3 linked regions of the Arabidopsis thaliana genome follow. The protein of the gene in region 3 interacts with the protein of the main gene of each other region in a pairwise test. Each region holds a gene or a part of one and is shown on either strand. Other genes may lie near its edges.

Region 1 (8,358 bases), 1.3 Mb from region 3:
GCGTGGTTGTGAATTGTGAGCATCTTTCAATTGTTGTTGTCATTTAATAAAACAAAATATAATCTGCCTCAGGGGGAAGTAGAAAAGAAATTAATTTCTATTTACCACATAATTAAAAGATTTCATTCCTTAAAAAATGCATAAATATCAACGACGGCTCCACAAACCCTAAAGACTAGGAACAAAGAGAGAGATAGTTTGTTGTTATTCTATTTCTCTTAGTTTTTTTTTGACATATTTTTTTGTGAGAAACAGAGAGAAAATGGAAGATGGTGTGACGCCTCCGCTTCTGATCACAGAGAAAGACACGACGATGATTCGTGTGAAGGAGGAGGTGAAGAAGCAGCTATGGCTTTCTGCTCCACTCATTGGTGTTAGCCTTCTTCAATACTCTCTCCAAGTCATCTCCGTCATGTTCGTTGGCCATCTTGGCTCTCTTCCTCTCTCTGCCGCCTCTATCGCCACCTCCTTTGCCTCCGTTACCGGCTTCACCTTCCTCGTACGTTTCTTCGTCCCATCTCTCACGATCCAGTCAAAAAAAAAAAAAGAGTGCATTCAATAACATAACCTTAGTTATCCTCTGTTTTGTAACTTTGTTCAAAGTTTGTGTGTATGTGAAACAGTTGGGAACAGCAAGTGCATTGGAGACACTATGTGGCCAAGCTTACGGAGCAAAACTATATGGAAAATTGGGAATTCAAATGCAGAGAGCAATGTTTGTACTTCTTATACTCTCTGTTCCTCTCTCAATCATTTGGGCTAACACAGAACAGATTCTCGTATTGGTCCATCAAGACAAGTCCATTGCAAGTGTTGCTGGCTCCTACGCTAAATACATGATCCCGAGCCTCTTCGCCTACGGACTGCTTCAATGTATCAACAGGTTCTTGCAAGCGCAGAACAATGTGTTCCCTGTCTTTGTCTGCTCTGGTATCACTACATGTCTTCATTTGCTTCTCTGTTGGTTGTTTGTGTTGAAGACTGGTTTAGGATACAGAGGAGCTGCTCTTGCTATTTCGGTCTCTTACTGGTTCAACGTCATTCTCCTCTCGTGTTATGTCAAGTTTTCGCCTTCTTGCTCGCATAGTTGGACCGGGTTTTCGAAAGAGGCTTTTCAAGAACTTTATGATTTCTCTAAAATTGCTTTTCCTTCAGCGGTCATGGTCTGGTAAGTCATCAAACATAAAATGCTGCATTGTTCAGGTTCCAGTATCTGCATTTTAATCAAATTCTGTTTGAAACAGTTTGGAGCTTTGGTCCTTCGAGCTTCTGGTTCTTGCCTCAGGCCTTCTTCCTAACCCGGTTTTAGAAACTTCGGTGCTTTCAATCTGGTAGATTTCGGTTATCTTTGTCTTATGGTACTCAGAGTTTGTGTACTTCTTCTTTATATTTGATCAACCTCATTTCTGCAACTTTTCAGTCTAAATACTTCCCTAACAATCTGGCAGATTTCGGTTGGTCTTGGTGGCGCTGCAAGGTCAGTAACAAAATGTATCCAAGAGCTCATAAAAAGAAAAATCTCATCAAACCAACCTATCTCACTTTGTGTGTTTCTGTTAACTTGCAGCATAAGGGTCTCAAACGAGTTAGGAGCAGGGAATCCACAAGTGGCAAAACTGGCTGTATATGTCATTGTAGGCATAGCAGTAGCCGAGGGAATTGTGGTTGTAACAGTTTTGTTGTCGATTCGGAAGATCTTAGGTCATGCTTTTAGCAGCGACCCGAAAATCATCGCATATGCCGCATCAATGATACCGATTGTTGCATGTGGAAACTTCCTTGATGGCTTACAATGCGTACTCTCAGGTTTTGAATGATAGAAGATTGGCTTTGGTTCCTTGTTTATATATGTCCGGTTCGAATCCTGGTCAAATAGTTTTGATTTATGGTTGCAGGGGTTGCTAGAGGATGTGGATGGCAGAAAATTGGAGCATGTGTGAATCTTGGATCATATTATCTTGTTGGAGTTCCATTAGGATTGTTACTTGGTTTCCATTTCCACATTGGTGGTCGGGTAATAATCTTAAACTCTCCTTCTCATTCTCAAGTTCAAACACAAGACTAGTTTTATAGAAACTTTTATTTTGTGGTATTTTCATATTGTAGGGGCTTTGGCTGGGAATCGTAACAGCATTGTCTGTTCAAGTGTTGTGTCTTTCCTTAGTCACTATATTCACAAACTGGGATAAAGAGGTAAAACCTTTTAACTGATCGGCTCAGTTTTATATGTATAATAACTCTGCCATAATGTGATTCTGTTTCTTGTTTTACATGATTAGGCAAAGAAAGCTACGAACAGAGTCGGATCTTCAGATGACAAAGATGGTGACGTCCAATGATCAATAAACGTCTGAGGAAAAAGCAGTTGCAAATGAGCTTAATGAGTGCTTTATTCTTGTATGCCCATATGAACTTATTGGGAATTTCTAATTGATGTGGCCGTACATTGGTCTTTAGAAAACTTTACCATTGTTACATAGTTATTGAAATTCCTTGGATGTGTTTCCATTCTCATCGAGCATTAGTGTAATGAGATCAAAAATTCATATATGTAATACACCAACGTGTTCGATACTAAAAATTCTGGACTTTAAATTGGAAATGAACGAAGAATGAGTTTGGGATCAGAGCTCTCTTCTAAACATAGGCCAAAAACAGAGATTTTTCTATGAAGGGTGTACATGATGATTAGTTAATCATCTGTGCTTTATATTCTTTATTTTAGACAGAAAGAATGATTCAAACTATTCGTCATCACTAGTTGTGATATGAAAAATTTCAGGAATTACTGAACGGAACCAACCAGTAAGAGAGATCCTATAGGCTATAGGAACCTGAAGAACGACGTCAAGAAGAAGCCTGTTACGCGATATCCTATAGGAACTCGAGATCAAGTTTCCTCTTCAGATGAGATCTATCTGCACTGCAAATCCAAAAATCAAGAATTCATCAAAAGTTTTCATTTTTTAAGCTGACCAAGAACTGACTGTAATAAAACCAATTGTTTTTACCTGGTGATGGTTGGTCGGTTTGGTGGCCGCTCAGCTAAGATGGTGAAATCTAAAGACATTGGTGCTTGTCCATCATGGCTAGCTTGTCTCATGACATCAACACTCTGGTCCTTGAAACCATTACCAGACTTTCCTCGGTCAGGCATCACTCTTCTAAACTTATGTGCTGGTGACAGCACTTTAATGGCTTCAAGTTTACTATCAGATGACTTAGCATCTTGCTTGGAAACTGGTCTTGGGAGCTTTAAAGGGTCAGTAGGTGAAGGTGCAGATGTGAAGTACCTTTAAAAAGAAATCAAGGTTTGAGAACAAAACTAAATAACCTGTTCTTATGCATTATCCATAGGGGAGATTTTTAGGTACCTGTGTTTTAGAGCCTGCTGAATCGATATTCTAGACTTGGGGTCATAGGTGAACATCTTTGACAACAAATCTAAAGCATCCTCACTAACCGTTGGGAGTAAAGAACGTAAAGAAGGAGCAGGGACAAATTGATACTCTACATAATCAGGAAGGCAGATCATGTCAGGCCACTGATCTGCTTTTGGAGTCCCAAAGGCAGCAAAGATTTTGCTTAATTGATCAATATCACTGTTTCCCTGCAATGGAATAAGTAAGTTAGATAAACAAGTAGACAGATGCACTGGATTACTACACAATCAAAATGGAGGTTCACCTGAAGAAATGGTCTGCGTAATAGAAGTTCAGCAAAAATGCAGCCAGCAGCCCAAACATCAACTGCACCATCATATTGTTTTGCACCAAACAAAAGTTCAGGTGCTCTATACCATCTAGCAAACACCTATGAAAATTGCTAAAGGACATCAAGATACGAAAGATAGCAGAACTACTACATAAATAGCATTGTCACAACAAACAAAGCATACCTGGTGGGTAAACTTACGACCTGGGCTACCAAATATACGTGCTAACCCAAAATCTGCAAGTTTCAGCTGTCCATTGGGTCCTATCAACAAGTTGTTTGGCTTCATATCTCTGAAACAAATACGAATGATCATCCATAAGTTTAAATCAAAACAGACCTTATTAGAGATAGAACAAGTTCTGCTTCTAAGTTCCAATGATAGTACCTGTGCAGAACCCATTTGCCATGGCAATATTCAAGACCTTTCAATATCATTTGGAGGTAAGATTTGACATCACCAGGCGAAAGATAGAGATTACGATCTCGGATAACTGCTTCGAGATCAGTCTCCATGAACTCAAACACGATGTGCAAATTCTCCTTGTGAGGAAACGCATCAATCAACTCAATTATATGTGGATGCTTAAGCTCTTTAAGTAATTTGATTTCTCTAAGAGCTGTTACATTCACACCTTCTTTCTCTTTACCAAGTCTTATTTTCTTGATCGCTACAGTTTCTCCATTCTACAAATTGCCACAACAAAACAAATCAGCTTCCTTATACAAACTTAAACAAAAACTACACACTTTAAATCCATTAAGAACATAAAAATGCAAACTTTGACTTCTAAGAACACATATTAGTGTAAAGATCGAAACTTTAGCTGATTTAAAACCTAAGAGCTATCAGATTTAACCAAATTGTTCCCAGGAAGAGACACGTCAAAAGACACACGACAGAATTGGAACCCTAGTTTCGATGGGATCGACAAAAAATATGAAGAATTGAGAGAGGAATCATCTTCACCTTTGTATCAGTAGCTTTGAAGACGACTCCATAAGTACCTTGACCAAGAACCTCTCGCTTTAGATACCTATCAGCAACTTTCTTCGGCTGTTCCATCTCCGGAACTCTCTAATCGGATCACAAGCAATTGATCGAAACTGATCTTAATTAATTTGTTATCGTTAACGTTGAGGTATCTTATGATGCTCTGGAGAAAAAGTAGCCGTTAGAGCAATTACAGAAGGAATCGACATTTTTAGGGGAAAATATTGAAAAGTAAACGAAAAAGGAAAGAGACGCTCTAAAGCTAGAAATAAAACGAAGCTGGAAGCGTCTATCGTAACGACGTCGTTTAAAGGTTTATAAATGAAAAGCAAAATTGTTCCGGTTTACTCAACATTGACTCGTCAATTATTCTTCGGTTTAAAATGTTATAAGTTAGTGGTTAAACAAAAGATGATTGTGAATATTAACATTTTTTTAGCTGTATGAATATTGGAACATTGCCTAAACATACTTAGAAATTAAAAAAAAAATCCAAGAAAATAAAAAGCTGCATCAACAAGTTGCCAAATTAACCTTGCTCATATTTTCCGCAGCATGGACCAGGAGAACACTACCGGATTAACTTCCGTTTCATGAAGCGTGGAATCAAGCCCAAATATAAGGCCCAAATAACTATTCCGAGAAGGTTAGACAAGCAACTGTTAACTTCTGGGCCCATATAATGGGCTCATAAGAAAGAGATGCAGCCCAATCATTAAAGTTTGCACAAATAATTAGGCTGATCAGTCCACTTTTTTTTAGGTGACCAAAGAAAACAAAGTAAGCCTAACATTTGAGTATGAACCAGAAAAATTTAGGATACTTCAGGGTCAAGTATTTTGCTAGTGAACATTTTTCATCATACAAATTTTTATTTAAACAACTCAAAAAAAAACTTACACGATGGATAAAAAAACACACTTAAAAATAAGCCATTGAATTGTGAAAGAGACGAGACTCGTGAGGGTAATAAGACAAGTTCGTTGTAATAAATCTAGCAATAGATTCTGCTCAGACAGAGAAATAATTACCTGCTTTCGTGCCCACATCATCAGACTTATAATCCTGACCGTACATCAACCTATTTCACTATTTCGTGTTGAAATTTCTAGTTGTTAGGGCTAACAAATGATTTAGAATTAGGTCACCAAACGGAAACACTTGTACATTATTTTCTAAAAGAAATAAAGAATGGTCGGCCAAATTCATTTTCAAAGTTACATCTTAAAAATGTAGTGGACTAGTAGTTGGCAGGAACGATAATAATTGTTATTTTTATTATCTTTACCCAAAAAAAAAAAGAGTGAAGCACAAAAGCCGAGAAGGACGCATGTGACGCGTAGGGAATCTAACACAAACAATGTCAGACCCTTCCCATGTCTTTTCAGATGCACCCACCTGTTCCTTTTTTTCTTTTCTTTTTATTCTTCTATCACGAATATCTAAACCACTATAATTACGACTCTCTATCTATCATTTCTTCCAAAACATGACGTGGCCTCTTCTCTCTCTCTCTTTCCTTCTCTCTAAGTATGTTTAGGGTTAATAATTAGGGTTCCTCCTCTCTTTTGTTCTGTCTTTATATCTCCTTCATAGCTCTAATGTAAGAGATTTACCTCTTTTGGTGTTTTTGTTAATCCACGTTCTCATCAAAACTTTCTCATTGTTTTATGAAGAGTTAAAGGTCTTTACAGTTTGCTTATGTCAGATCCATAATATATTTGACAAGATACTTTGTTTTTCGATAGATCTTGATCTGACGATGGAAGTAGAGCTCCTTAAAGTTCAAACATGAGTTGAGCAGGGTAAAGAAAAGCTGCTAAGCTATGGATCCCATAAGCCCTAATCCTTGTAAAGTAAAAAAGGATTTGGTTATATGGATTGCATATCTCAGGAGCTTTAACTTGCCCTTTAATGGCTTTTACTCTTCTTTGGATTGAAGGGAGCTCTACATCTTCTTTCACCTTCTCTATTTTTTATTTTTCTTTATTTCTACTCAACAATTATTTATTCGGATTCATCTTTAATTTTCCGTTATAATTTCTTTTTGGTAAGGATTATTCGCTATAATTTGAGAATTATATGGTTATTATTTTGATTCCGAAGCAATGTTTAGCGTGTTATTTGTTTTTCTTGTAAAAAACTAGGGTTTATGCAACTGCCTCGGGTAGATGAGAAGATCCTTGGTTCTTTGGAGACTTTTAAATTTTGCAATCTTTGCTGCCATATGCACTGACTATCTTTGTATGATTATTCTCATATCTAATCTAACAACTAAATCCTGTTCTACAATCACAGTCCTTTAGTTAATTGCGAAAATAGTTTTCTGTCATATATGTAAAATGATGATCGGATCGGATTTAAAGGACCAAAGATATTCACTAACTTATACGATTCATTTGTCAACTCGAGTACTTGATTCCTGTCTTTACACAATGAAGATTATAAACTTGAAGAACATTAAAAGTTAATAAAAGTTAAGATTAAGATATAAAAATAACACATATCAATAAATTGAATGTCTTTTCGGATCACCTGTAGGAGTTGGCCATATAATTTGAAATCGAACGTAAACTACAGCAAATTTTGTTATTATAGTTTGATTGATAAAGAAATGGTTTTAGGCAGAATAATTGAAACTGAACCCTAGCTAAACAATTTCTTTTAAGGGAGTCATCATGTAAACCAAATTTCACTTAAAAAAATGATGTTTTAAACATATAATTCGACAATTTTTAGTTTACTAAAAAGATTATGATTTTTGTTTGTTTTAAATTTAATATTGTTATACTTCCATAAACAAGTTACATGTGCTACAGTTGTGAGTCTCGAACTTTGAGTCTCCAACCCAAAAGAAATCGAGATACAGTTATGTGCTAGTTTAAAGAGTAAACTTACTCAAAAATATCCGAAAAACACAGGTAAACTGATCCCAAAAACAAAATTCCGAAAACTTAGATCACCATGTCGATCCGGTCCAAAAGTTTTCATAAGAACTATCAACCAGCCTTCGATGTTTCAGACTTTCAGTCTATGGTTTCAGCACAATAAGATAATCTTGTAGACACATAGTATGTCTTCAAACATGAGGTCTCTTGGTGTTGTATGTGTAGAAACTTATTTGGCTGGTCTTGCCTTCGTTGCTAAACTGGGATGTAGACATTTTCATTATTTTGATTGTACTTTCGAAGTTTTCAAAATTGGGCCTCGTTTTTATGACCCTTCATGGAAAAAATAAAGTTGTCAATCTTCCTCTTACGACAGAAGAGGTCTGTTGCAGATCTGGACCAAACCCTGTAAGCAAAATATCCATTAACATAAGGTCAAATCTAGCCCATTAAATAGGCCCAAATAAAGGCCTAATAGTGTAATGTCAACCCTAATCGTTCAATTCTCTCACCATATTTATGTAACGACTGACTGATTTAACTAAGCCTTCTATTGGGCCTTTGGCACACAAATGTTGTAAGAGCTACTTGTGTTCGAATGAATAGTTTTTTTTTTTTTACCAACGTATGTATCGAGCAATTTCTCGTTATGAGAATGATTCAATTATTTTGAATTGTTAATTTGTTAACAATGCCGTAAAAAAAACTGAATCTTAAACCAGAAGAAGAAGTGGAAGAAGTTACTGATTATTTTATTTTACA
Region 2 (7,040 bases), on a different chromosome or scaffold from region 3:
GCTATCTCAAAGAAGGCCCGTCCTTATCAAACGACAATAACAATGATGATCCCTGGTTGGCAAACCCTGGATCAAATGTTCACTTTGGAGCTGGTTGTGATTCTTGTGGGGTAAGTGCATTATTACCTTAACCCGATTGTTAGTTGTGAAACCAAAATATGTGAATCGTAATTTGACACTGGTGCGGTTTGCTACAGGTGTATCCAATCATAGGGGATCGATACAGATGCAAAGACTGCAAGGAGGAAATTGGGTATGACCTTTGCAAAGACTGTTACGAGACTCCTTCGAAAGTTCCAGGGAGATTCAACCAGCAACACACTCCTGACCACAGGCTTGAGCTTGCACGGTCTCCTCAGGTTCTGATCAATTTCAATTCTATCGGTATCCTTCTCGGACCCGTTATCTCAAATGAAGGCATGGATACAGATGAAGGCGAGGAAGGGCCTCCTGGTTCTTCTAATGAGTCATCAAGCACAGAATGAAATAGCAGTCAAGTATTAATGCATATGCTTTCGCTTTGTGTTTGCGTTTGTTATTGTATTTATACTTCATAATATATTTTCTCCTGAGAAGTCTATGGTTTTAACATTTTAAACAAAGTTTATTTCTTAACAAAGTTTGTTTGCATTTGTGGTTGTTAAGTCACCTCTTTTGTTTATATTACCTTTAAAGTGTGATTTATTTTAATTCCTCTCATTAGTACACAACTATTATTGTTAGTGTAAAGAATCCATTTAACAAAAAAAAAGATAGAAGAAATTATCCATTTGAGACAAGATAATTGAATACAATAGTTACTAAAAGGTTAACTAGCCAAATTATTTGTTTGAATGATTAAAACTTTTTTTTGCACAAAAAAAAGATGATTAAAATCTTTTTTAAGAATATATAAAATTATGTATAAATTAAATTCTTAGATCATTTAAATACCCATATTATTCAATATTCATACTGAATCCGTTATCCGTATCATTCATTTTTTTTTTAAAAAGTACAGTTATAATAATAATTGTAATATCTTAAATTACACTTATTCGATTCTTTCAGTTATTATCCGGTATTTATCTGAAAAAGAATAAGTTTAGTCATGTAAATGTAAAAAAGAGTGAACTTTTGAAACAATTGAGGCATGTGAAAGCTTTTCAATATACATATTGGCTTGAACTTGAAGGATTGCTAATAGATAGTAACTGGATTCAAGGGACCCCATCAAGGTGAAAGATTCGCTCCTCTGAGTGCGTGTGAGGCAGCTACGATGTGATTGGTCGGAGTGTGGAACCCATGACTGCTCTTACGTCGGAAATCGTTTCTCGGGTTCTGTCTTTTTTAAAACACTTTATTATTGTATTAAAAAGAAAATAAAGGAAAAAGTTTTTTCAGTACGAGCGTGTTGTGATAACAGTTTTTTTTTTTTTTTTGGCGCCCTGAAAAAAAGGGCGGGAGGACGTGAAGAGTGTTATTGCAGATCCTTTATTTGTTTTTTGTTTTTTTTGCCTTTATCTCTGATTTTTGGGGATTCGGTAGCGTTCGAGATCTGAGCTGTTGCATGATTGCTGAGAGTCATCGCACGTGTGCCTTCCTTCTTTGTACGGTGAAAATAGTTTTTACCATATTTAAACCGGTTATAAAGTTTTGTTCAGGTTTAAAGTATTATGGGCTAGTAGTGTGATCTTTCGTGTTTGGATGAACTGATGAACAAAGAAATATCTAAAGATTGTACACAGTGTTGGTCATGCATACGATTTGAAGCATATAAAATCATGATTCATGAGAATGTCCCTTTGACATCTTCGATAAAATCATGAGAATTATGAATTATCGCAAGCTTTAAATTTAGAGATTTTTAATGTAATTCATCTTCTTCAATAATAATAAACCTCTCGATTAAGAATAATAAGCACCGGGGCATTGACATTGGGAGCCTCTACTCAGTACTCACCTTGTTGTTGTTTCACGGGTTACATATATATTAATATAAGAAGGCCTTTTAACAAAAATAAATAAATATAAGTCTGATTTAATGTATAAATGTATATCACGTAACAGTAGATTAATTAGTCGCCGCATCACGATTCTTGTTTCAAAGAAACAAAAAAGAATAAGACTGTGTTTGCTACACAAAAGAAATGTAGAAAACCAAATTGAGTCATATATTTACATTTCAGATACTATAAAGTATAAACTAAATTTTATGTAAAGGAAAATTAATTTTTCTATTTAGACGTGAGTATAAGCATGTAGTCAGACCAACTTTATTTGTTCGACAAATTTACCAACAAGTCAACTTTTGAAGCCTAATTTATGAAAGATAATCTCAACTATTACATCACAAAGAGAACGGTTGTTGAGATGATTACATAACTATAAAACTAGAAGCAACCAATATAAATGTCCAATGCTAATAAATCCAAAGAAAATAAATACTTAGGTAAGTGATCAACCCTATGATGTTAATTTTAAGACACTTGTTTACTTAAAAAAAAAAAATTTACAGTCAAATGTATCTGTATACAATTAATGTGTACGTTTTTGTCAAATGTGAAGAATTTAATAGATGGTTGACTCTTTTTTTCTTTTGAACCAATAACCTGCATGACATTTGAAAATCTGAATGCTAGCTTTTGTTTTGGATTGTTTGTACAAAGTTAACGTTGACTTGTCTACCAAATTTTATGAAACAATGAAAATGGATGCAAAAAATGAACTGCCTTATTATCTTAAACCAAAACAAATTTGACACATACAACGATCTTTGCATTATTTAACAAAAATAACTAAAAATTTCCACACGATATCAATTGCTTTATAATCATGGATGGTCTACCAAAGCAATTAATATAAGCTTGATGATCTTTATTCTCAAAGACCTTGTTACTTTCGGCAGCCTTTTATTATTTGTTGCACCAACCACTCATAAACTTTAAATACTATATATATAGTGTATAGAATAATTGGAATATATATTTCCAAAAATGTTCTTCATTTGAGAACTATTATTTTATGTTATTTTGGAGTAACTAAGAATTAATTATATAATATAAGTGAAATATAGAGTCGGAAATATGTCGTTTACTACATGAATTATCAAAAAGTTGTTATTTAATACGTAAATTTTATATATAAACATTTAATATATGTAAAAATTATTGACCGGTTATTTTACACAAACTTAATTGTTTATCAGCCAAAATTTATACCAACGTAAAAAAATTAGATAACATTAACTTAGTGTAAAATAACTTTTTTCTATATATTAAATGATTATATTCAAAGTTTACGTATTAAATGAATATTTTTTAAAAATTTGCGTATTAAACTATATTTTTCTCAAGCAAACTCAAATTAATACTTTAAATATCTCATATATTGTTCATAATTTACTTTTGTAAAGTAGACTTTTAAGTTTTAATCAGATAGAATACAAAAATTAAATTAAATTCCAATTAATTAAATTTTGATTTATCTTTTTTCGAAGAAAATGATGACAATCAGGTGAGAGGGCCTTTGACACCTTAAAAATTTGTCTAATTTGTTTTTTGATTCGATTTTAAAATAAATATTTCCATTGTCCTTTTAGTTTTCACTTTTTCAGATTAAAAATCACTTTTTTCCTCCTCCTTCGTTGCTTCCCTCCTTTCGCTCTCGACCGGAGATTCAGTAAACCACCTTCCCGGAGATGGGAAAATACATTAAGAAGTCAAAAGTCGCCGGTGCCGTTTCCGTTAAGGATAAATCTCACCCACCCGCTCTAGGTTTCCGTACCAGAGCCGCCGCCGCTAAAAACCTCGCCCTCCACCGTCTCCGTTCTCATTCCGACGAAGCAGACTCCTTTAACTACCTCCAGCTCCGGAGCCGCCGTCTCGTGAAGCTTCCATTACTCACTAATACCAGAAAACAGCAGAAGCAACAGCTCATTCCTAGTGTCAATCAATGTCAAACGAAAAACCCTAGGGCTAGTTCCGGTCCGGCGAAGAAATTAGAGCCGGATACGACGACGGAAGAAGCTTGTGGTGATAATGAGAGAATATCTAGGTCTGATTGTAATTTTGGAGATAAAGGTTTTGATTTGGAATCAGAAAACAGGTAACTTTAACTCTGTTTTTTTTTTCATTTTAAAGCTCCAAACTTTTTTTTTTTACTACAATACAGAGATTGAGTTTTGATATGTTGGTTCTCTCATAGGAGCATGATAAGTGATTCAAAATCAATACAAAGTGAGATTGAAGACTTCTTTGCTAGCGCAGAACAGCAACAACAGAGATTCTTCATTCAAAAGTACAAATCCCATTTTCTTTAGTGTCTTGATTCTCTTGAGTTTTTAGAGTTTGGTCTGACTTTGGGGGAGTTATGGTTTTGCAGGTACAACTTTGACATTGTCTCGGACAATCCATTGCCTGGACGTTACGAATGGGTCAAAGTGATGCCATGAAATGAGTTGTGTTCGATGTAAAGTTGTGTGCTTTAGGAAACATCTGTGTTGGAACAGAGGAGATGAAAATTGCACACAGACTAACTTTGTGGGGTTTTAGGGTTGGTGTATAACTTGTTAGTCAAGAATAATGTAATGTTAATCTCTCTCATTTGCTACAAATAAATGTCTAATTTAACTGTCAAGTTACTTAAATTAGTATTGTAAATCTCTTCATTGTTCTTTGGTTACTTCAGTGAAGGTCTGAGTTTTGTGGTTCTGCATTAGAGTTACTTTACAAGTCATATACTTTGGATTCAAGTAGCAAAAGTAGTGAACTTGTCTGAACAAAAACCTTAGTCACAGGTTTTATCTCTATCTTCTTTATTGATAGTTTGATACTCTAATCTCATTGGGCTTTTCACACATGTGGGTACTTGTACCAATTCCTCTGTCATACAGGTTGCAGTAAAATGCTTCGATTAGATTTCATCTCTCTCTTCTTTATTGGCACTGCACTCACTGTCTTGCTTTCTGGAATTATTTCTTCAAAAGTCTAAGTTAGTAGCACCTTTCATGCTAAAGATTAGGTTTCTTGGTTTCTGTAAAATATTTCACCTCTTTAGATCATTTGCTCATCGGATGAATCAAAACATTAAATAATGATGTCTATTCTTATTAGTACAAAGCGTTTAAGACCACTGTGTTATGTCTGATACTAGTACTAAATTCACATGATCATTTACATCTCTGAAGAATCAAAACCTTCTTGGTTTTGTCACCTTTTAACACATGAACAATATTTACTGATCAAGCCCTGCTTCTCCGATGGTTCAGCGTTTTTGTTTGGTTAATTTGTGAGCAAAACTGCAAAAGCAAGTCATAGGATGCTTAGAGTGATTTCATTCTCGTTGATAATAGTTGTATTAAGTAAATACGTAGTCTGTAATATTACAGTACCTGTCATGTTCCATCCCAACTCTACCACCGAAGCTTCACGGAGTTGCAGGTCCTGTACTCAACCTTTGCTTTGTTTCTGACATTTCAACTTCATATACACCCTTGCTTTCAGAAGTTTTACTGTCTTCCATGGCCATCCTCCTGATTTGAGCCTGTTGGATTGCTAGCACCTCATATCTGCAAATAATTTCCATGAACTACCAATGGTTAAACTCATATTTCTCGTGATCTTTATTCATCACTTTGTTACAAGCTAAAAACCCATCTCACTATCTCTATATGAAAGTGGAATCATACACAGAACAACAGAGTAAGGTGCATTTAACACCTACTAAGGGCATTACACCTGGAGTTATGGAACCATCTCAAACGAAATTTTTTGGCATAAGAAAGTACTTACTTTGCCACAATCTTCCTCACAAGCTGGAAATATATCCTCCAAAACTGATGTTCCTTTAAAACTCGCGGGCATAACTTGAATCTCAACTGTGAGAGTTCCTGTAACACGAAATCAATCTTGTTTAGAGCAGCTTTGAAAATAGATTCGTTTAAACCCAATGGTCCTATCAACCAAATTCAATTTTACCAACTGTGTAACAAAATCATCTTGAACTGCAAACACGAGCATGTTTACCATTTTCACTAACATGAGCCTAACCAGATTACAAGCAATTCAGGAAGATAGTAGCATCAAATGAACTATAAGATTCGGCACATAAACTCTGATCCGATTCTGATTCAAGTGATACCAGTGGACCAAGAGCTCTACCACTACCAGTTCCATCCATTTAGAAATCTTGCTTAGTCCTAAAGAGTAACTTTCAAATTTCCCTATAAGATTCGATCCATTGCTCCTAATTGACCAAACCCAAAGCTACAAGCAAATCAAGAAGACAGCAACTTTCTATAGGCGCTATAAGAATCATCAACTCTTATTTGAATCTAATTTAAATAGCACCGTTAGCTCCAAAATCCAATCATTGATCATTTGAAATCTCTACAGACAACAGCTACAAATTCCATTCATTTCAACACAAGTTCAATCATCAAAAGAAGCAAAATTTAGGAAATCAAGAAGACAACAGCTATGTAATAGGCTATATAAGAATCATCAGCCCACACACTCAGATATGAATCTAACTTTAAAATAGCACCATTGGCTCCAAAAGCTAAACTTTGATCATTTGTAATCTCTACAGCTACCAATTCCATTCATTTCAAAACAAAAGTCAATCACAAAAAGATTCAAAATTCAAGACCAAAAACCTTCGATTTCGATAACACGAGAACCGCGTGTTTCTCCTGCCAATCAGACAAATCCTTCTTCACATTTGCAGATGAACTCATTCCATTATCTTCATCTCCCAAAGGATTCACAGATACTTCTTCTTCTTCATCTGTTTTAGAAATTACAACCCAAACTACTAAAATCAACTTCATAAATCACAAAACTAAAAAAATCCTAACTAAATTGGGATCCAATTTTCGTAATTACCTTCCAGAGAGAAGTTCTTAAACGTATCAATGGTGAAGGATCTGACATGATCGATTAACTCATCAGTAACTCCCAAAATCTCATCTTTACCTTCTTCCTTAACACTCGATCCATTCTTCAAGCTATTCCCATCTGAAGATTCCTTCTTCTCTCTTAAAAAACTTCGTCGAATCC
Region 3 (9,125 bases):
TGTGCCTGGTTATATGGTTCGAACTTCGGTCACACGTGTGTGCGAGTGTCCTTGTAAACAACATGAATAGGTTGGGTTAGGTAAAGAGTGATTGATGATGAAACAAAGGACTTTGGGAAGGAGGAAACGTCGTTGTCCACTAGAGATATGAAAGTGCAATAGTGACTAAATCTTGGTTTGTGACCATAAACAACAAAAAGCAAACCCACGATTTTTTTTCTAAAGTAAAATACAAATGAGAGACGCTCCCTCGAGAAACTAAGTTCACTCACTCTCTCACGCCCTACGAGTCGGGCCATGCCACCATTGATTCTTCTCTGTTCTCTCTTTTCTTTTATTTTTTATTTTAATGATTCCTTCACTAAATATCATCTCATATATCACTTTATAATTCTTTCTACTTTTCAAGCATCCAAAGTTTGATTATTTTAATGAATATATAGTGTATCTTCTTCTCTAAAGATTAAAGGCAAATAAAGAATCCATGTGCAAACTTTGTTTCTACATGTTCTAGCATATATTCCCTCGCATTTCTTTTTTCTTCTGTTTCGCTTTAAGAACAAATGTTAAAATATGCTTTTGTATGTGCTTATAATTAAATCCCATTACGTACTTGATTAGTAGTCGGAGAGGTGAGTAACGTGAGTTTGATATAGATTGCATGTAATGGTAACATGTACGTAGTGTATAATTATGAAGAAATGATCAAAATAGCTATGAAATACGAATGTATAAATAGGCGATTTGGTTAAAAATATGCGTATTATATATTCTGTTTTTATTCCTACTAATATCCACATGATCTACATGCGCTTATATACACGATACAAACTCATATACATCTACATGACTACATGTGTATGTAAAGTAATACTAATAAATCTGCCCATTTTCTATAAATTAAAATGAATGCAACTCCTGTCATATAATTTCATTGTTTTGTCTCTACCCCATTCCCATTAGTTGTCATTATCCATTATTCTATAAGAAAATTAATGTATATTCTGTTTGAGAAACCAAGTGCTCGTGAAGTGTATGATACAAAAAGGTATGCAACTAATGGCAAACGCGTGTACCAAATAACAGGACAAGGATCAATTAAGATAGTAATTAAAAGATGATTGTCTTTATACGCTGATATATAAGCTTAGGTCCCTTTGTGTCCCCGTGTGTCCTAATCAAAACCCGCAAGAGAATTAAAATAAATAAAAAGTTAATAAACAATGATAAAGGTAATCCCCCGATGATTAATATGTCCAAATGTGTGGGCTGGTCATTATTTATTTATAATTAGCATTTAGCAGTTGCTAATCACCTAACCATACTCTCTCTTTACTTTTGCATCATTTTAGATTAAATAGTAGTGGGTGAAGCTTCTATTCTTTCTCTTATAAAGATATTTTGTATTTATATTCCTGTAATAGTTATCTTGTACGTATTTATTTATAACTCCATCTGGTTCACGTTCAGGTTGTCATGTCATATTGATGCTCTGCTCTTACAACATACCATTTATATTCATAATTCATGTCATGAATTTTACAAAACCATGCCAACCTTTTGTAAAAGGAAAGAAAAAGTTAATAAATAGTGACTAGTACGAGAGTAAAAGCAGTAACACATTTCCTTACGTACATTTGAGTGGAATCAAAATGGTAACAGTGCATGTTTGATATTTGGATTTAAAATTTGTTTATGTCAATATTATCAGTGTATGGTTGAAAAATGGGAAAAGTGAGGTAAACCAAAATAATAAATAAACAGAAGAGGAGCGTCATGAGGATTTATAGAAAGTAGATAACGTTGTAATCCGATAGATAAGTAAATGATTAGTATAAAGCATATGACTATGAGACGAGTGATTAGTTCATTGGAGGGTGAACAAATAATGTCGTCGATGGAAAATAAATAAATCACATTACTAAACTAATCAACTAGAATTATGAGGATGGAGACATTTTCTCGACGTGGGGTGCACTTCTGTCGGCACAAACCAACTTAGTTATAAGATTAAAACACACTTTTGTAAAATGTTTTGTTTTGCAGTAAGTTTTTTTCTTTTTCTTTCACTTCTTATTTCCTTTTTTACTTGTAAAATCGTGTGCATACATATATAAATGGATAGTCAAAGATGGTATTTTTGTGTGGCTAATGTTTGAGGGGTTCGAGAGAGATAGAACGGTGTAGCTACGTTATGGTTTCGTGGTGAGACCACTTTCTCTGACATGGAGACAGATCAACATCACATGTATGCTACTGCTCCTATTAATTGTTCCTCTTTACTAAAATCAAGAGAGAAATTAACCACTATTTTTTACTTCTTTTGTAATTTGTTTTTTTCATAATTTGATTTTCTTTTGTATATTTACTGTTGTTAAAATAGGTATATAAAACCCTTAATCTTTTGCCCAAAAAAACAAAAACAAAGAAATGTGTTTAATTATGGCAAAAATGAGGAAGGTTATTACATTTTGAACATTAAATACTTTTTTTTTTCTTTTGGTCTTAAACAAATACAATTTTCTTTTGTCTTTTTACGTTCGTCGTTCAATAAAACATACACTCGATCCACAACACACATGTTCACATGCTTCGTGCTCCCACAGGCCACACCAAAATCAAATCTCACCACTACTCATATTATCCTCTCACGTAGCTATTAACCTTCTCCACGACCATTATTGAGTTCAATGTACTTTTTCCTTCATATAATAGAAACGTTTTATTTATAAAATTCAACCTTTCAAGAAACCAAAAAAAAATCATATATATACACATACGTGACACCTTACACGCATGCAAACGCTACTAAAACGCACCGTGACAAAACTCATTTGGAGTCCACGAATACGTAGAAATCAAAAACACAAAATTTCCCGCCAAAATAAAAGATTTGAAGAGAAAACAAACACGTGAGACACACGCCTCCGTCACGTGAAGTCACACACAAGGAATCAAAAATCTTAAAAATCCAAACAAAAAAACAAATTATATATACTTCGCAACTTGATTTTTTTTTTGTTTGATGATGAAGCTGAGGAAGGGTCCCATGAACTGCTGCGATCCATTAAGACAAAGAGCTCAGAAAAATCTCCACTCACAAATCTTTTGCAAACGCTCCCCTGTCTTATCCATCAGTACCTGTGTGATGAGGACTCTAATGCAAATACTCTTCTCTCTCTCTCTCACACACACACACTCACATGATCATATCTTTTCTCTAACACGTGTGTGTTACACTCACTTACTCATTTTGCTTTCTTGGGAATCTGCAAAGCCATTAATGATGAGCTTCGTCTCTCCCAACCAACCAACCAACCCCAAAACCCAATTTTTACCCTTTCCATAAAAGAAATTGTAACCAAAACTCTTATTCCTTCCCCTTGGTTGGAAAACTCTTAATTACTTTAACTCAGCCAATAAACACTTTTACTTTTCTTCATCACTCCCTTATTACTATGTACTTGTTAAAAAATATACTCTACTTAAACAGAAGAGGGTTTTTTTTCTTCTAGGTTTTGTTTCCTTGGTCCTCTACTTTCACTCCCCAAATTTTAATTAGAGGTAGATGTTTCATCACCTACCCATGAATAGCCACTTAATTTTCTCCTTTTACAAGGAGAAGAGGATGAGAAAGAGGATTCATCACTTGGCCTTGTTAACGTCGATGATGCCCTTACACTCACTCGAAGCTTTGCTATCACTTTTGGTGTATTTAACCGGTTATTCTCGATGGCCATCGCTTTCATCAGTCTATAGCATCTCACTATCTTCTCCTGAAAGTCAAATATAACCAAAAGACATTAATTAGCAATCTGTTACTCCCTTGTTCCATCTAAACGTGATATAACAAATCCTACTTTGCTCAATCCGTCACACCAAGTCTCAGGGCTCTCGTGGGGATTGACAACAGAGGATAGAGAAGGTAACTCGTTCGCTACACAGAGAATCGCGGCTGCAGCTATACTCGATGGCCAGTACTCAAGAAAGCTCGCTTCTGTACTAATTGGTCATGTGTTAGAACCAACCCAAAAATGTGCTACCTAAATGACATTATGGATCATATATCATACAAATATTACGTACCTTTTATGTTGGAGAGTATAATCTCTGTAGCATGGGAGATAAAGAACCCGAGAAAGGTACCCGAAGGATCGATCTTGTAAGCAAAGAAGCTAATGAAATCAAACGGTGTAACCGATCTTAGTCTCCAATCTAACACACTTAGAACAAGAAGTTCCATTCTTTTTATAGTTTTTGCTTCAAATAAATACTTCACTCCTGCAACCTACATTACATTATACAGAGATACATAAATTAAAGTTTCTTAAAAAAACAGAGTAAATTCAGAATGTTAAAGAAAGAATGATAATATATGTTTACCTGAAAATCAAAAAGAGAAGGAACGAGAATTTCCTCCATCTTTGCAGCTAAAGACAAGCATGCCACTGCTAAAAGTTGCATTGGCCAACCACTCGTTTCCTATTTTACAGAAATTAAAGCTGATTAATATAATCATTGATTACTATATACTCTATTAAGTTTAATTACAAAATTAATTTAAAATATTATATAGTAGTAGGAGCGTTTTAACACTATGATTACAAAGTTTTCAATAAAGCCGATATATGAAGTGGAAAGTTTACTGCAAAAGTATACTATTATTATGTAAACGTCAATGTAATTTTTTATCGAAAATATAAATTTCAATAAAATAATTAAAAAACGAAAAAAAGTTCCCCAGCCCGCTCCTGTTCTATCGTTTACGTACATTCCAATATAAGATTAATTTCTACTAAATTATTCTATACCGATTATAATTTTTTGCTCTAATAAATTTTTAGTCGTTTTCATTTTTTTCTGAAGAAAAGTCAATAAACAAATCGATCCATTGAAAAAAAAAAAGGGAAATAAAACTGACTTTTTGGGGTTGTTATTTGTCATATCAATATAATAAAAAAACAGAGACAATAGAATTAACTAACGTTGACGTTTTTAAAACATTTACCGGTAATCGACGAGCGTAAAGAAACCGATCCATATAGTTAACGGCGAGGTACGCCGTTAAAGGCTGAAAGTTATAATACGCTTGTACCTGTAAACCAAACAATACCACACTACTGTAAAAAAAAAGATTCTCTGCATGTAACGATTCGATCAGCGTATTTTAGCGTCTACACACTCTCCGGCGGCGTATTTTAGCATTGAAAAAAATGAGAGGTAGAGAAAAAAAGTGAATAGGCTCGCCTTGAGAATCCATGCGACGGAATCTTCTCTAGCGGAAGCATCGAGAGATCGAGTTTGAAATCTAGAGAGATAATCATGTCCAGGAACGAAGTGACGCTCGTCTTCGATAAAACAAGCGATAGAATCACCAGGCCATGAATCAACCTCGGAAGACGAGAAATCAACCGTTGACTCACCGGAAAACACACCGGAGTCTTCTCCACAAAACAAATCCATATCGTTAGAGAATGAAACAGACATGTGTAGATAATCACTAAAACGGTAACTCCTCATTCTCTCCCCATAACCGGAGATGAATCAAACCGGAGCTAGATAAACCGGTGAGATCTAGAAGAAGCGAGAAGAGAGAAGTGAAATGTGAGGTTTTTGAATTTTGTGTGGAGAGAAGAGTGAAGGTTTAACACATTCATTTGTTTGGATATATAAACAAGAAACAGAGATTTTTTGAGGTTTTAATAATTTTTTATTTAAATGTGTTTTTATTTATAAAAATGGTGTTGTTGCAAATGAAACAGAGAGACGGTTACCGTTTCCGTTATGCCCGAGAAAACGGGACTGTTGTCACTGTTCCATCAATCGAGACGGGGCTGGTCCGTTCGTTCATTGGGTTTTGTTTTGAGTTTTTTTATTTGTAGTTTATGTTTGTGTTTTTTGACTAACATGCGCTAAAGTGAAATGCGTAGGTTAGGAACAAGGAGTGGTGTAATTACGTAATACGTGGCAGGTTAAGACGTTGCATGAGTGAGTACATTACAGCTAATGTACGTTTGTTTGCATATTACTCGTGAAGAGAGAAGGCCGTACGTGTAATGTATTAATTGGTGACGTGTAATGTATTACTTGGTGATTAGCTTAATGGGCCTGGATTATGGAACATTTTCTGTGATTTGGACCATTTTGTTGGTCGCTTAGAAAGAAACATTTTTTCGTATTTAAGATTTGGACTTTATTACTATTGGTTAAAAAATAAAAGCATCGAAAAATAAATCAAAATTTTACAGAGGTTTTAAAGTCATGACGCTTAATCATACGTATATATATAAGTATTTGATTTGCTAAAATGCAATTTTTTTGGTTATTGTTTGCTTTTTATGTGATTAGATGTAAAACTCCTGAACCATTTTAGGCACATGACAAATGCTCAATAGATTTGAGGCCATTTTAGATTCAATGATGATTTTTTAATCGAATGTAATTAATTGATGTTTTGCATTATAGTGCAATTTTTTTGCTGTTTTCTTGAATTAACCGTATGATAAATCAGTTTTTTTTTTGTAATATCAAGTGAGGGAAGAAGATTCCAAATTTTAAGATTGGTTATCTAATTATCTTGAATTATAAATTAGTAGTTTAATTGAGATTGGTTAATCAGAGGAAAGCAAACAGTGGTCTGGAGCGTGTGGGAAAGAGTAGTGGAAGTCCTTTTCGTAGAACCGGAGATTTTCTTCACATTCCTTTTTGTATCAATATGTCATATTTATTTGGTCCCTTCTTGGTTTAATTATGCCATAAAAGTGTTAAATCATTGGCCCGTTTTTATTAATCACTCCCGTAGTTACTTTCTTTCACGTGTGCCTTACAAAATACTTTGCTCCTTCGATTTAGATTTTAGACTTTAATTATACCATTGGGATGATCTCGGTTTAGATTGTAGTAGATTTTTCGCTTACCTCTAATATATTTACCCCTTATTTTAGTTTTCAGGTGTATTAGAAAAAATGTTTCATATTTTTTTTTTTTTTTAACATTGTTTCATATTTGTTTTGTATGTGTTTTCTATGCAGATTTGTATAAATTTGTCAATATTTTCATATTGATAAGAATTAAAAATTATGGAAGAGCTAATATATAACTATCACTTGTATGTACTATGTAAATAGTTGACAATGCTTACGTAGATAACGAAATTAACATTGAGAAAATTACAATTCAACAACTACATTGTACCATAGAAATTAGAAACAAATGGGATACTTTTTGAAATAGAAGATAATATATTTTTGGTATCTTCGGCGGAAGAAGACCTTCTTCATTATTTATTTGTTATGGCTAGGTTGGGCTACTAATTCATTTCTCTGTTTAGGTAGACAATATTTAAAACATATGGCTTACATTCAGATTTGCATTCACATTTACAGTTAAATTAACATTTTTATCATGCAGTATATGTTTATTTATATTAACATTAATGAAGTCAAGAAACTGAAATTTGAAAGGAGGGAAAATATGCACCTCCCAACCTACAACAATTTATCAGACTGACTACATTCTCGTGGTAGGGTTCGTCATTTTTGTTAATGTCTTATTTTCTTAAAGAAAATCAAGACGATTCATGGGAGCTATTGCCTTATAGTCAATGATCGTTGTTGAATGGTTATTTCAGATCTAATTATATGGTACGTATGATATCACTAGACATGATCTTATACTATCATCGTCACATTAATTGATACTACTCGTTAAGAAATGTTTTTTTTCGTTCTCCTGTAGCATAGTCAACTCGGACCCTATTGATATACTCTTGCATATGTAATCATAATAATGCATTTTTTTTTGTTATATACAATGATGATCATGAGTCCATGTTGAGTTACTAGAAATATAATGAATAGTTAACAAGTGGGTCGAGTCATTTTCAGCAATATATGTTTTTTTTCTCTACATTGAGTTAGTTTTAGGAAACATTTCTAGAATCCTCTTTTTAAAGGAGAACTTGAAAATGAATAATCAAAACATTGAAAAATCGGTGAACTCAGATCATTGAAGCTACCAATTTCAATGGAATGATAATGAGGCCTATATAATATTCATACACTGATCATTGATCGATTTTTTCGCCAGACTCCAATTTTATGTATAACAACATGAATTGTAACTTTTTCACATTTTTCAGTCTCTAATCAAACATATCAACAAGCACTTGCATGATGAGTGATGAATAGTGACATTTTTCACATACACTGTGCACACAGTAACTAAAGATCATTGCTTTCTCATTTCCACTTTGGTCTTGGTTGAAGTAATTTTATTTAGTTTCTGAAGGTTGAATTGTTTGGAAAAAAAAAAAATGATCTCCAAAACATGTTATTTTGCATGGATTGAAAAAAGCATATAACCATAGCAAAATAGCTGTTAATATAAAAATGTATGGTTTTGAGTTTCTTTTGACTATAATTTATAGCTCAGTTTTCACAATCTCCATAATATTGATCACAATCTCCACAATCAAACTTTTTATTATTAGAGTGTATAGTTAAGCAAAATCCCAAAAATAAAAAACCTAGCTAGGAAAATATTCCTCTAAATTAATATTACACACTAGTTCTAAACAATCTGATACGAGTTGCCATCGAGATTTGCACACGAAAAATGTTCAAAGGGACCCTTTTTTCATCTTTAATCTTTTTGGACTTTGGTCGGCGTTGGCTGATTATGACTCGCTATACCACGATTTCTGTCCCTTGTTACAAATAATTCTATTAGCTAGTCTCGATTCTCTTTTTTCTTTCTTCTTTTGTTTAAGTAACCTCCTTATCTTTCTTGTTTAGTGGAATACAGGCTCCGATCAAATTCAGTCACATGTCATCATTTCTCTAAGATATATGTTTCCACGTCAACAATTAATTTCAGTTAGTTTGTTTTTATGTGTTTATATAATACGTAATAAATACATAAACTATAATTTAAACAAGATGAGGATTTAAACCAGCCCCTAGTAATAATCTAACATTAAAACAAAAAGTAATAACATAACAACGATACAAAAAAAAAAAAAATATAATTACAAATTTTGGTATTAAAATTATTTTTTCTATACATTAAATATGGAAAAAATATTTCTCATAAAAATATATGTAAATATGTAAAAATTCAATCAT

What was found.
Region 1: the proteins of CYCD1;1 (region 3) and CDKD1;1 interact in a protein complementation assay, tested with the Arabidopsis thaliana proteins (one large-scale study listed by BioGRID).
Region 2: the proteins of CYCD1;1 (region 3) and ICK3 interact in a protein complementation assay, tested with the Arabidopsis thaliana proteins (one large-scale study listed by BioGRID).

Annotation. Positions count from the first base shown.
Region 1 is NC_003070.9:27,711,535-27,719,892, reverse strand, and holds CDKD1;1 (cyclin-dependent kinase D1;1), read right to left. Parts: upstream 4,984-8,358; 5' UTR 4,781-4,983; coding exon 4,685-4,780; intron 4,402-4,684; coding exon 4,103-4,401; intron 4,008-4,102; coding exon 3,899-4,007; intron 3,814-3,898; coding exon 3,688-3,813; intron 3,611-3,687; coding exon 3,375-3,610; intron 3,294-3,374; coding exon 3,012-3,293; intron 2,924-3,011; coding exon 2,875-2,923; 3' UTR 2,473-2,874; downstream 1-2,472. Other genes in the region: AT1G73700 (MATE efflux family protein), read left to right, coding at 263-499, 624-1,168, 1,245-1,331, 1,421-1,477, 1,568-1,806, 1,896-2,014, 2,107-2,193, 2,280-2,339.
Region 2 is NC_003074.8:9,057,311-9,064,350, forward strand, and holds ICK3 (Cyclin-dependent kinase inhibitor family protein), read left to right. Parts: upstream 1-3,525; 5' UTR 3,526-3,679; coding exon 3,680-4,086; intron 4,087-4,185; coding exon 4,186-4,278; intron 4,279-4,362; coding exon 4,363-4,432; 3' UTR 4,433-4,693; downstream 4,694-7,040. Other genes in the region: PRT1 (proteolysis 1), read left to right, coding at 1-110, 198-485; AT3G24820 (BSD domain-containing protein), read right to left, coding at 5,407-5,548, 5,772-5,869, 6,638-6,768, 6,867-7,040. UniProt on the Arabidopsis thaliana protein: Inhibits CYCD2-1/CDKA-1 complex kinase activity without interaction with the complex.
Region 3 is NC_003070.9:26,436,410-26,445,534, reverse strand, and holds CYCD1;1 (CYCLIN D1;1), read right to left. Parts: upstream 5,980-9,125; 5' UTR 5,883-5,979; coding exon of another isoform or gene 5,739-5,882; 5' UTR 5,521-5,738; coding exon 5,248-5,520; intron 5,096-5,247; coding exon 5,009-5,095; intron 4,483-5,008; coding exon 4,384-4,482; intron 4,289-4,383; coding exon 4,087-4,288; intron 3,998-4,086; coding exon 3,861-3,997; intron 3,777-3,860; coding exon 3,555-3,776; 3' UTR 2,528-3,554; downstream 1-2,527. Other genes in the region: AT1G70209 (uncharacterized protein), read left to right, coding at 5,739-5,882. UniProt on the Arabidopsis thaliana protein: May activate cell cycle in the root apical meristem (RAM) and promote embryonic root (radicle) protrusion.